2 linked regions of the Drosophila melanogaster genome follow. The protein of the gene in region 1 interacts with the protein of each later gene in a pairwise test. Each region holds a gene or a part of one and is shown on either strand. Other genes may lie near its edges.

Region 1 (2,902 bases):
GAGTATTTGAGGCCAAGTCTTAAGCTATTGTCTAGGAAACAAAATACCAAATACAAAAACGAAACTAAGGGTATTCTTTAAAACAACATGAATTTTGTTTGTATTTATTAAATCTATGAAAATGATCCGTAAACAAAAGTAAAGAAAAATAATTTTGCACATATTTTTTTTAGGAAATCTTTAGAACTGTCTGTAAAAATATATATTTAGAGTAACCCCTGAATAATGATTAAATACTTATGCATAATTTTTATTTATTTTACAGGGCTCCCTTGCATGATGCCAGAAAAGTGGACGTAAAAAATCTAATAAAATTATATTTATAGAAACAGAATGCAGCTTGCCATAGTTTTATTTTTTAAATATTTTTGAGAGACGGTTGGGAAAAGGGAGAAAAAATATTGATACATCGTGTAGGCTGGAATAACTAATTCAAAGTCACACCAATACTTTTTCCAAACCAGTTTTGCAATCTGCAGTAAAGTTTTTACAAATTGATCAAATCACTTTCGTTATAATGAGGTTTCGGTCGCTGAAGAACATATGGCCAAAAGAGAAGTTGGAGCAATTCCTATTTTTGTTCATTTTATGTGGCTTGCCCGCCATATACTATGTTCTAATGGAGATAATTCTGCCGGAGTTGTCGGATTATTGGTCACCTGGTTACGTATTTCAGCTGCTGCTGGGACTGTTCCTCTTTTCGAATGTGATGTCCAACTATGTCATGTGCATCCTGGTGGACCCCAGCATCGATCCCAAGCTTATGAAGAATCAGTTGGTGCGCGGACAGCACAGTGAGGACTGGCACGAGTGCGACAAGTGCGGGATTCTTGCTCCACCCCGGTCACGTCACTGCAGGAAGTGTGGCGTCTGTGTCCTGATGCGAGATCATCACTGCTTCTTTACTGGTTGCTGCATCGGTCATGAGAACTATAGATACTTTTTCTATTTTCTTATCTACTTTTTTCTAAGCTGCATGATTTCACTAACGTCATCTTCGATATTTATTTACGTTCTGCATGGGGGCAGATACCAGCTCTTTATGCTGACACATCCCGCACCGAACTCTGCCTATTTTAACTCGCTTATTATCAGGATAATCTACTTTAAGTTGCCCGATATATACGAGCTGGTGTTCACTCTGGTATTCGTCCTGCTGTGGATCGGGGTATGCGTAGCTACCTATGTGGCTTATGATCAGTGGTCTCGTGGCTATTTTTGCTATGATTTTGAACTTCAAAACATTCCTTTTGACCGAAAACTGCGCCGAAACTTCAAGACGTTCTTGGGCAGGCGAATGAAGTGGACCTGGATCTCCGGATTTGTTCCCAGCCAGCTGGACCACGACGGATTTGATCTGGATCCCGACAACGAACGTGTGGCAGATTGGTGCTCAGAAACAACCATCAAGGATGGCTAAATAATTTTATGCATTCTCTGTGTTTTCCAAATTACCGGTGCGATGAAAAATTAAAAATTCGAATTCATTTGATTAGTTCAGGCATGCAAGAAAGCTTTCCAAATTAAAAAGTTAAATATTTAAGGATGTGTTATTATGCGATATGTGTATGTTTCGTTTTATTTGGTCTCTACTGTGCTTGCTGATTTTCCCCAGGTTGGCAGTCTCGTCAGCTGTTTTCCTGATAACATTGACTTGCCGCAAAATGCTTGTTTGTTTAGTCTGAAATTGGCATCTGGTCAAGATCAACTGCCAGTAGGTAGAGACCACATATGGAGCCCACCAATTCGGAGTCGCGGCACCGCCTAAATGGAGGGGGCAGGAGTTCCGCGCCAGCAGGCTCCGGAGAGTACATCAAGGTGGTGGAGTCCCAATGCGAGACCGATGGATTCGTTAATGAACAGTGGACGGAACCGGCGATGCCAGGTCCAGTGCCTTGGAAGACCATTATTATCATTCTTTTGCTGTTTATCGGTGGCATTGTGAGTAGTGATTACTGGTGCCCACACATACATGCACAGTTCCTTCGAACTTCTGATCTGATGTCTTTGTCTTCAGGTTTGCATCGCCTTTGCCACCTTAAACTGGGTGACGGACACGAGCCGGGAGCGATCGGATCGGGTGTGGGCGTTGGGTATCATCGGGGCACTGACCTTCATCCCGGGAAGCTACTATGTGTACGTGCTCTTCTGCATAATGCTCAACCGCAACGGATTCACCATGGACGAGATACGAAGACTCGGCTGAAAAGGAGAAACCAAAGACACCAAATGTTTCGTCAAATAGAGTTTATTGCTTTTACACTACAGTTATTCACACATTTCATTGGCATAATTTCTTTAGCAACAATCTTAATATGTAGTTCATTATGATACATGTGTATTGCCCCGGTAATTGTATAAAAATATTTTTTAAACACGAGCTTCGTTATCAAAATGTATAATGCTTGGCGTGGCTTCTAGTGCGCGGAACATTGGCTATCTATTTAAATAGCGCATCGCTTGCTTAAATATGTATATGTTTTACAGGCATGAACTATAGGTTATATGATTTATGTTATGGCCATTTTCTCTATCAAGCTTGGGGCACAGTATAACTTTGTGTTTCAGCTTAATTATATACAGTGTTATGCGTTACATGTTGTATCTATGTAGGTAAGAATTCTTTACAAACAATTGCTTTTCGTGTTTACGGATATAACAGGGCGCGTGGGAATCAAATACTTTAACAAGAGTAGGGGATTAGTATGGGGTGTATACACAATACATACACAAACATTGTAACGAAATTAAACTAGCGACAGGTAACATTTCACTGCTCCACGACGGTCACCTCGATGGGCGGAATGAACTTCCACACATGCGCCTGCTGCTCATCGTAGCTGGAGGAGAACATGACCGATTGGCCGACACTCTCCGCTTCTGCCGGACAGGAGCGGGTTAG
Region 2 (7,863 bases), on another chromosome or scaffold:
TTTTGGTGTGGCGCAGTTCCGAAAACAAGAGTAGTGTTCCAAACCGGTTCCCAAAGCGTGTATTTCTTATAAGACCAAAACAAGACGATTGCAGCGCTTTAAATTACGTCACCACTTGAAGCCAGAGAGCAGAGAGAATTGAAGATTGAGAGGGAAACAAACAAAAGGGGGATGACCAAGACCACCAAACAAAGCCGGACCTCCAAGTATAACCCGAGTTTCCAAAAGTCGTAGTTTAGAAATTAAAGGAAGGTTTAGGGTAAACATACATGTTATTATAGTCAACTATTTTTAATTTTTTTGAAACATTTGCAGTGCCTGAAGCTTTTGTTTCGATGGTGGTAAGATAAAGTGCATTTCCAAACGATTTTAAAACATGTTTAAAATAAACTTAATAACAAGTTTTCACGCTTGACAGATTTTATCTACTGCACCTTGGGGGATAAGGTTTGCTTTCGAAATGTATCATCCGGAAGTTTAAGTTTATAAAAACGTAAGCATATGATCTTCTCTTTGAAGACCCACTCCAAACATTTTTAAAGGAGGATTGTTCCACTTTTGAGATAAACTAAACACATGTAAGATACTCTTTTTTTTACACATGTAAGTTAGGGAAATGACAAAAAAAATTAATGTAGCCCAAGGAGTTAACGGCTAAATAACGTGGGTGATCGTCGGAAGAAGCCAACAAGCATGGGCGGAGACTCGAACTCGAACTCGCGCACTGATTTCGTAGGGAATTCCAGTTGCCTTAGACGACTGAGCCACCGCGGCTGGAAAATTTGGGACGTCCGAAATCGGAGAAAGGTGTTTGAAGCAGGTTAATATATGTGGTTAACCTACAGATAAGGCTACAAGCAGCACTCTTTTATTTATGGATGCAAAATCAGCTGATTGACAGCTTAAAACGCTTATTTACGATGGCCTGTTGTTTGGCCCTGATAACACGCGATTAGCGATATGGAAAACGGACCACCAGACCATCAACTTTTTCTCACTTTATATCCCCATGTTCCTGGCTGCGAAGTGCAGTTAATCCGCAGCTATAAATAGCAAACAAAAGTGAATTCGGTGGGTGACGTAGTTGGGAATAACAGAGAAGGGGTGGGATGGATACGTACTAAAGAGATAGAGAGAGAGCGACAGAGAGCGCGCTAACGAACGACGCAAAACTGAAGGAAACAAGGTACACAAAGGGGAACTGATAAACGAAACTTACTGTAAAACTGCAGTTACAGTGCCGTACTTTTATATAACAGCAATTGCACCCCACGTTCACTGGCTTCGTTTCAATAAATAAAATAAACACGGGCTAAAATTCTACGCGAGTCTGATTAGGCATGCGGTTTAAGCCATTTCAATTCCGTTCGCTGTCAATTTTATCTCTGTTTTGCTGCAGTTGGCTCTCCAAATCTTTTAGTTATGGTCACCCTACGATAGCAAAGCATGTATTTTGATTGCATCGCTGCTATCGATGTTTGCGGATTGGCGCTTTAGCGTTCGCACCGGTCACACTTACCGTACTTTTTAAAATTAATATTTACTTTACGATGCGGAAGCACAAACCTATCTTGAGTTGCTCCTTTCGAAGTAAATTTTAAAAATAATATTAACTTCAATAATAGTAATAAAAACATATCAATTTACATTTGGGGACACAAAATACATAAACTATGAATATTTAGAAATAAATGAGCTTACATCTCTTCGTTTTGTTGTTTATTTATATGACATCTAATTCAAAAATTATTGTATAATATCATGATATTTGCGAATAATGACTCGTATAAACGTTACCGTTCTGCAAAACGCATAATGTCAGTGTGACCGTGTTGCGCGGCATTTTACCACTTTCAGAGATTAGTGCTCACGGGTTTTCGTGCTGCGCAGCAGTTAAATAAAATTGAATACATCAAGAGCTGCAGATATAAATCGGAGTTGAAAACCAGTGCAAGTTGCATTGGCCCACAAATCAAAGGTACGCCTTATAAAGGAGAGTGAATCAATTGCCGAATTAGTAGTGCAAAAGGTCAAAGCATCAGTCGTGAAAAAGTGGCACACATAAATACAAATGCATACATACATACTCGTAGATGCAACACACACCTACACCTAAACACACATACACACACAAACACACATCCGTGGGAGGAATAAAACACCCACAATTGCTGATTATTTTCTGCACTCGTTATCGTTATCGCTTTCGTTTTCGCATTCATTTTCCACAGCCGCAGTTTCGTGGGGCGTGCAATGTTTAGGATCCACCTCAAGATGGGTCCCCAACGCAACCAGCTCCACAGCAACAACAACAATGGTGCCGCCGGAAGTAGCAGCAGCACCGGAAACCGTCACCTGAAGGAGTTCACCTGCTGCTTCGGCCTGCATGTCCACACGGCCACTTTGATGATCGGATTGTGGCACCTGGTAAGTGCATCAAGGGGGGTATCCTTTAATCCATACATGCGTGTGTGTATATCGAGATACACCCACGCATGCAGTCCTGCGGCATTTGCGAAAAACCTTTGACCCTGCTCAGTGTCACGCAAGGGAAAAATCAATCAGCCAATGACTGCAAAACTTTGCGAAGACGAAGACGAGCCAACTCTGCACTTTCCCCGCCTGTGACGTCAATTGGTGGCTGATTGGCCGCTGCTGCGTCATCTGATCAAATTTAACTACAGTATAATTCGCTTAGCTGCCTCGAGTACTTTGCACAATGCCTCGATGCAGGTAACTTAAAAATGCAGCTAACTTAATTTTTTTTTTTCTATTTTCTATTTTCTATTCACACAAAAAAATGGAAAAATAATGCAGATATCTTGCCGATGCAGCTAACTATCGATGCAGCTAAGCGAATTATACTGTACTATCATCGGGGCTTTTTGGCACAACAACTTATTTCTGCCATCGGTTCCACTGCGGAAGTTTCCACATCCCATGTCCATTGTCCGAAACTAACCTTTCACAAGATCTGACTTCGCATTAGCAATCGCTACACTTGGAGAAATGTAAAGCATTGTCGAATTTTCAAAAGTTTCATAAGAAATTAGTTTTATTGGCTAAAAAAAGGGATATAAATGTGCAAAGTGCAGTATTTTCAGTCTTGTTATCAATGTTTTTGGAAACCCAGAAACCTTTGATGTCTCTTCTGAAAATGAAAGAGAATGCTCTGCCCTTAAGAGAGCGCGAATCTGCGGCCAATAAAAGATTTGAGTCGTTGAGCAAAAACCCTTGCTTAATAGTATTTGTCTCACTACGCTATTCGTGTATATTTTACACTGTTCCGCTACTTTCTTTATGCTTTGATCAGGTCACGTTTTCCAGTAGAAAACTCCGTCACATGGGTTGATTATGGTGTGGACAGCAGTGGAGTTATCTTTTCTAATCTGTCCAATCTCAAGGGTTTCTTTGTTTACATTTTGTAGATATGTATGGCGTTAGAGGCTTTAAAAACAAAGCAATTCCGCAAATCGAAGGTTGCTTGTTGTTTGGTTGACTCATCCCCAGAGTGACAATTGTTGATATACTGCGGCGCACTGCAGATTAAATTTCATGATGAATTTCTGATGAATAATTTAACTAAAGATGGCAAGTTGCCGCATCTCGGGTCGTTGCAAGGCCTTCAACCTGAGATACTTAGATACTGAATCGGATATCCAACGGCAGCCATCTGAGCAAACAGCAACCAGAAACATGAGCGTTCAAGTTATTTTTAATAACTACACGTACTCGACAAGTGATGCGAAAATATTTACTCTTGTGGTGGCTTACTCTTGCTTTTCGGTAAGAAAGATATATTCTTCTGGAACAACATTCTGAAGCGTGCTGTCATAAATCTGAGAATTGTTAATTCAGCTGTCATCTATCAGCACACAGGCTGCAAATCAAATCAGGCGAAGCTTTCTTATCTTCTTTTTTGCCAGCTTATCTTCATGAGCGGACCCATGCACCTGCTAACGCACTCGAAATACTTTTAAATGTTGAGCTATCATTAAAGTCCCCCCTCGTGATCCTTGGGAATCTTTGCTTAGTTTGTGACGTTTACAACTTATTCACATTTTTATAAATATTGTTCTGCTCACACAAAAGTCTACATTCCCCACTACTTCCAATGAAATTCCATCCGGAGGAAGCTGTCCAACTGGTGAAGGCATTTGCGAGATTCGAATGCAATGCCCCACACAGACGACACATTTCCGGAAGGCAGTTCTTGTTGTCCTATTGACATTGTTTCCTCAAATAAAGTCATCCTGCGCGGCTATGCTTCTAAGGCGAATAAGGATGTCGAAGCGGTGGAGGAGCTAGAAGAGATACAGGAGATGAATGATGAGCTAAGGGATTTGTTCATCAATACAACTGCCATCAATTGCTCGTCCCTTTCTGAACTAAAAATCCAGACTGACGCTTTCAACACCCTTAAAGAGCGTACACTATTCTCATTGGGATACTCGACAGCCGGGCTTTTAAAGAAATCAAAAATCAGTAAGGTTCTAAAAGGGAAGGTCAATTTGTACCAACAGATTGTGAGCCTTGTAAAGCAACGTACAAAGACCAATTCAGAGATCACCATAGGAAAGACAAGTCATCCCGTGCACCTGATGGTCTTACAGAGCTTTTCGCGAATGTTTCGCGATATGGGCAATGACCTGAGCGTGGCCCTGCCCGAAAAGATGATTACGCCACGCTCCTTTGGCCTAATCTACGAATGGATGATCGAGGACACGCCAGTCTTGCCGCGACTCGGTCTCCTAGAGGTTTTCCACGCTGCCAAATTTATGGAGATTCCACAGTTGGTCAGGCAGTGCAAGTATTGCCTCGATCATGGATTCACTGAGGACTCCGCTGCGATGCTGTACTTTGAGGCGAAAATACTGAAACTTGAGGTTATCCATTTGCAATATCTTGAGCGCGTCTCAAAGTTTTTTCTCACGCTGGTGGCATCGAAAGAGTTTTTGAGACTGCCGCTGAAATCAATGCTATTGCTCATCCAATCGGATCTGATAGGCGTGAATACGGAGCTGGAGGTCTTCATGGCAGCCGCTCGGTGGCTAAGCCACCACTGGCCTCAAAGAGAGGAAAACGTAACGGATGTTGTATCCAGCATACGTTTTGGACTAATCCCGCCGTGGTTGCTCATCCGTTTACAGAAACCGGATGTCACATCTGTGGGGGTGGGGAGAATCGTAGCGCAGCCAATTGTGCGCCAAGCCATTCATGAAGGCATCGCGTACACGACCACGCGGATGTTTTATGGAAAAGATCGGGAGGCTTTTAAGCACTATTTGCATAAGGCTTGCGTAAAGCCACCCGTGCAACGCACTTGGATATACGACCGGAAATGTCCGTATCATCATCGAATGCAATGCAGGAACACGGTGGACTTAACCTACGACGCGTTCCTTGAATATCTTAATTACACGCAACGCCAGCACCGGGATTATTGGAAATCTCTGGAACCAGTAGATGCTAGCAATGTTTGCTTCAGTTGCCAGGCAAAGAAGTCTGATTTAACTAAGCCCAACAGTTGAGTCTCCACGTTGGTTGTAGAACTTGTAAAATATATATTTCTACTTATATATGTAAGCCTCCATGTGCAATTAAACAGTTTAATTATTTTAGTAAGTAAAACCGCCTACGTTTATTTTCAGTTCTTGAACATATTGGCGCTAAGCGTTCTAGCGGTCATATGGCGCAATCCGGAGATGATGGACGAACTGGAAGGTGGCACCCACGACTACACCGTGGATCTGAGTGCACCGGCCCTACCCACGCCCCTTAGCAAGGTCGAACCGCCCTACGCCTACCGTGACCACTCCCTCAACTATCGTAAGCGTTACCGTAAGCAGTGGAGAGAGCAAGTTCCGCAACGCATTTAAATATCAATTTTCTGCTGCAGAGAACTTCGATATGGGCGGACTGGTGTGCACCTGCATGATAGCCATTACACTGATGATGATCTACGGAACCATCAAGGGAAAACCCTCCCACCTGTTGCCGTTCTTCTGTTTGCAATTGTTTGATTTCGCTATTACAACGTAAGGATTATAATCGGTGGAGTTACAGAGACCTCAAAAGATTTAAATCGCCACTTTACTTTAGTAAAGCTTAAATAGCCTTCTTAAATCCTTCGAGGTTTCTAGGACTCTTTTAATAGGGAGATTAATGTACTTATGCATTGTTCGTTATCATAGTCTCACCGCCGCTGGATATCTGTGCTACCTGCAGGCCATTCACAGCATCATTGCCGAGTCGCATCGCTTGCCGTGGCGCGAGAAGCTGCTAGAACTACCACCTGAGGAGCTAGTTGTTGTTGTCCTGGTCGTATTCATCTGCATTGTGTTTCTAAAGGCCTATTGCATTGGTATCGTTTGGCGCTGCTACAAGTACTTGACGCTCCGTCAGCAACACGTTCGCACCCTGTTCCCCTTCCTGGAGCCACCGACTGGAGTCCACAGTGTTGGCGGAACCTTTGGTGCCGAAGAGCGGTCTTACTCCACTCTGTTGCCCAATTACGATGAAGCGATTGCCCAGTACTTGAAGCAGGCACCACCGCCATCTTATCAGGTGGCCATGTCAAACTACGAAGAGGGTGAAGACGCAGCTGTTGGAGGTGCGGAGGTTAATCCTTCGGTGGCCCCTCTCTTCGTGGCCCTTGGAGCAGCCACTACCGCGAACGTAGCCTCCAACACGGATGACAACATGGATAATAACAATGATCAGCCGAACAATAACAACACTATGCATGTCAATGCCAATACGCCACCAATGCGCCGCAGCGATGCAGCTGTAAACGCTAATGTCGACGAGGAAGCGGACGATTTGGAGGTTATTGACGCTGGCGTTGATGTAATCGGTGGCATTCCGCCTCCTCCGCCCTACAACGACGTTGCCGATGCCCAGGTGCAAGTGCCATCGCAATCGCCGCTGCATCGCCAGCCAAACATCCCGGGACAAGTATTCGGCGGACGCGACGAAAGCCAGGCTTAAACAGTACTTTCGACTGGATTGCTTCTCATGGCGAGTGGGTTGTGATCAGCGGTGACCACCCCTCTCCCATCCTCTTCTTGCCCAGATGATCTGGTTTCTGGTCCCTCATTTCGCAGCTATCATTCCCAGGCACACATACACCTTCTTAATGGTTGCTTCAATGTATTGAACACTGTTTTTAGAAAAACGAAACGCAAACAAGTTTTCGCTATTAGCCATCGCTCATTATTGTTGTTTAACGTACAACTAAGACGCTCTAGTTGCTGCTAATTTAGTAAACAAAAGCATTAAAGCCAAAAACATATTGTGATGCTGGCGAGGAAAGCATCAATTCCTTTTCGGCCGCATCTGACCCGATTTTAGCTGCAACAATCTGTTAGAACGTTTTTCATTTGGCCCGAACTAGCCTGAGAAGTTCGGATATTGTAGGCCCAAGTAGTTGTTACCAGAGAGTGTCGCTGGCATTGTAGACACCTTTACGATGTTCTTTGTTTTAAGTTATCTCGTAAGACTATGCATATTGAATACCGTGTACTGAATTCAGAGCACAGGCAGTCATAATCCATTAATTATGATGATATTACCAGCAACAGTAAAGTTTTATGTGTGTACAATATCTAAATGTATACTGTGTACTAAATATGCAAAGATATTCGAATAAAAATTAGTTTATATTTAATTTGTGTTTGCGACTTCATTTTAATTTAAAGAACATTATAATATAATTTCCAATTTCAGCTGATACCCTAATTCTATTTGGAAATTGGTTTCATTTTCAATAGAGTTGGAATGTTGACTTTTTAGTTTATAGTGTTAATCCTTTAACAGAGTTGATGATATTTATTTTAATTGGGGAAAGAAACAAAATAACTT

What was found. The genes of interacting proteins can lie anywhere in the genome.
Region 2: the proteins of CG2611 (region 1) and CG14767 interact in a two-hybrid assay, tested with the Drosophila melanogaster proteins (one large-scale study listed by BioGRID).

The regions. Positions count from the first base shown.
Region 1 is NT_033779.5:20,648,520-20,651,421, forward strand, and holds CG2611 (uncharacterized protein), read left to right. Parts: upstream 1-1,669; 5' UTR 1,670-1,731; coding exon 1,732-1,941; intron 1,942-2,017; coding exon 2,018-2,206; 3' UTR 2,207-2,379; downstream 2,380-2,902. Other genes in the region: CG18810 (uncharacterized protein), read left to right, coding at 518-1,420; brun (brunelleschi), read right to left, coding at 2,771-2,902.
Region 2 is NT_033778.4:8,717,821-8,725,683, reverse strand, and holds CG14767 (uncharacterized protein), read left to right. Parts: upstream 1-1,844; 5' UTR 1,845-1,978; intron 1,979-2,186; exon of another isoform or gene 2,187-2,231; 5' UTR 2,232-2,253; coding exon 2,254-2,427; intron 2,428-4,059; exon of another isoform or gene 4,060-4,175; coding exon of another isoform or gene 4,176-5,531; exon of another isoform or gene 5,532-5,584; intron 5,585-5,651; coding exon 5,652-5,841; intron 5,842-5,899; coding exon 5,900-6,038; intron 6,039-6,194; coding exon 6,195-6,990; 3' UTR 6,991-7,667; downstream 7,668-7,863. Other genes in the region: CG30357 (uncharacterized protein), read left to right, coding at 4,176-5,531.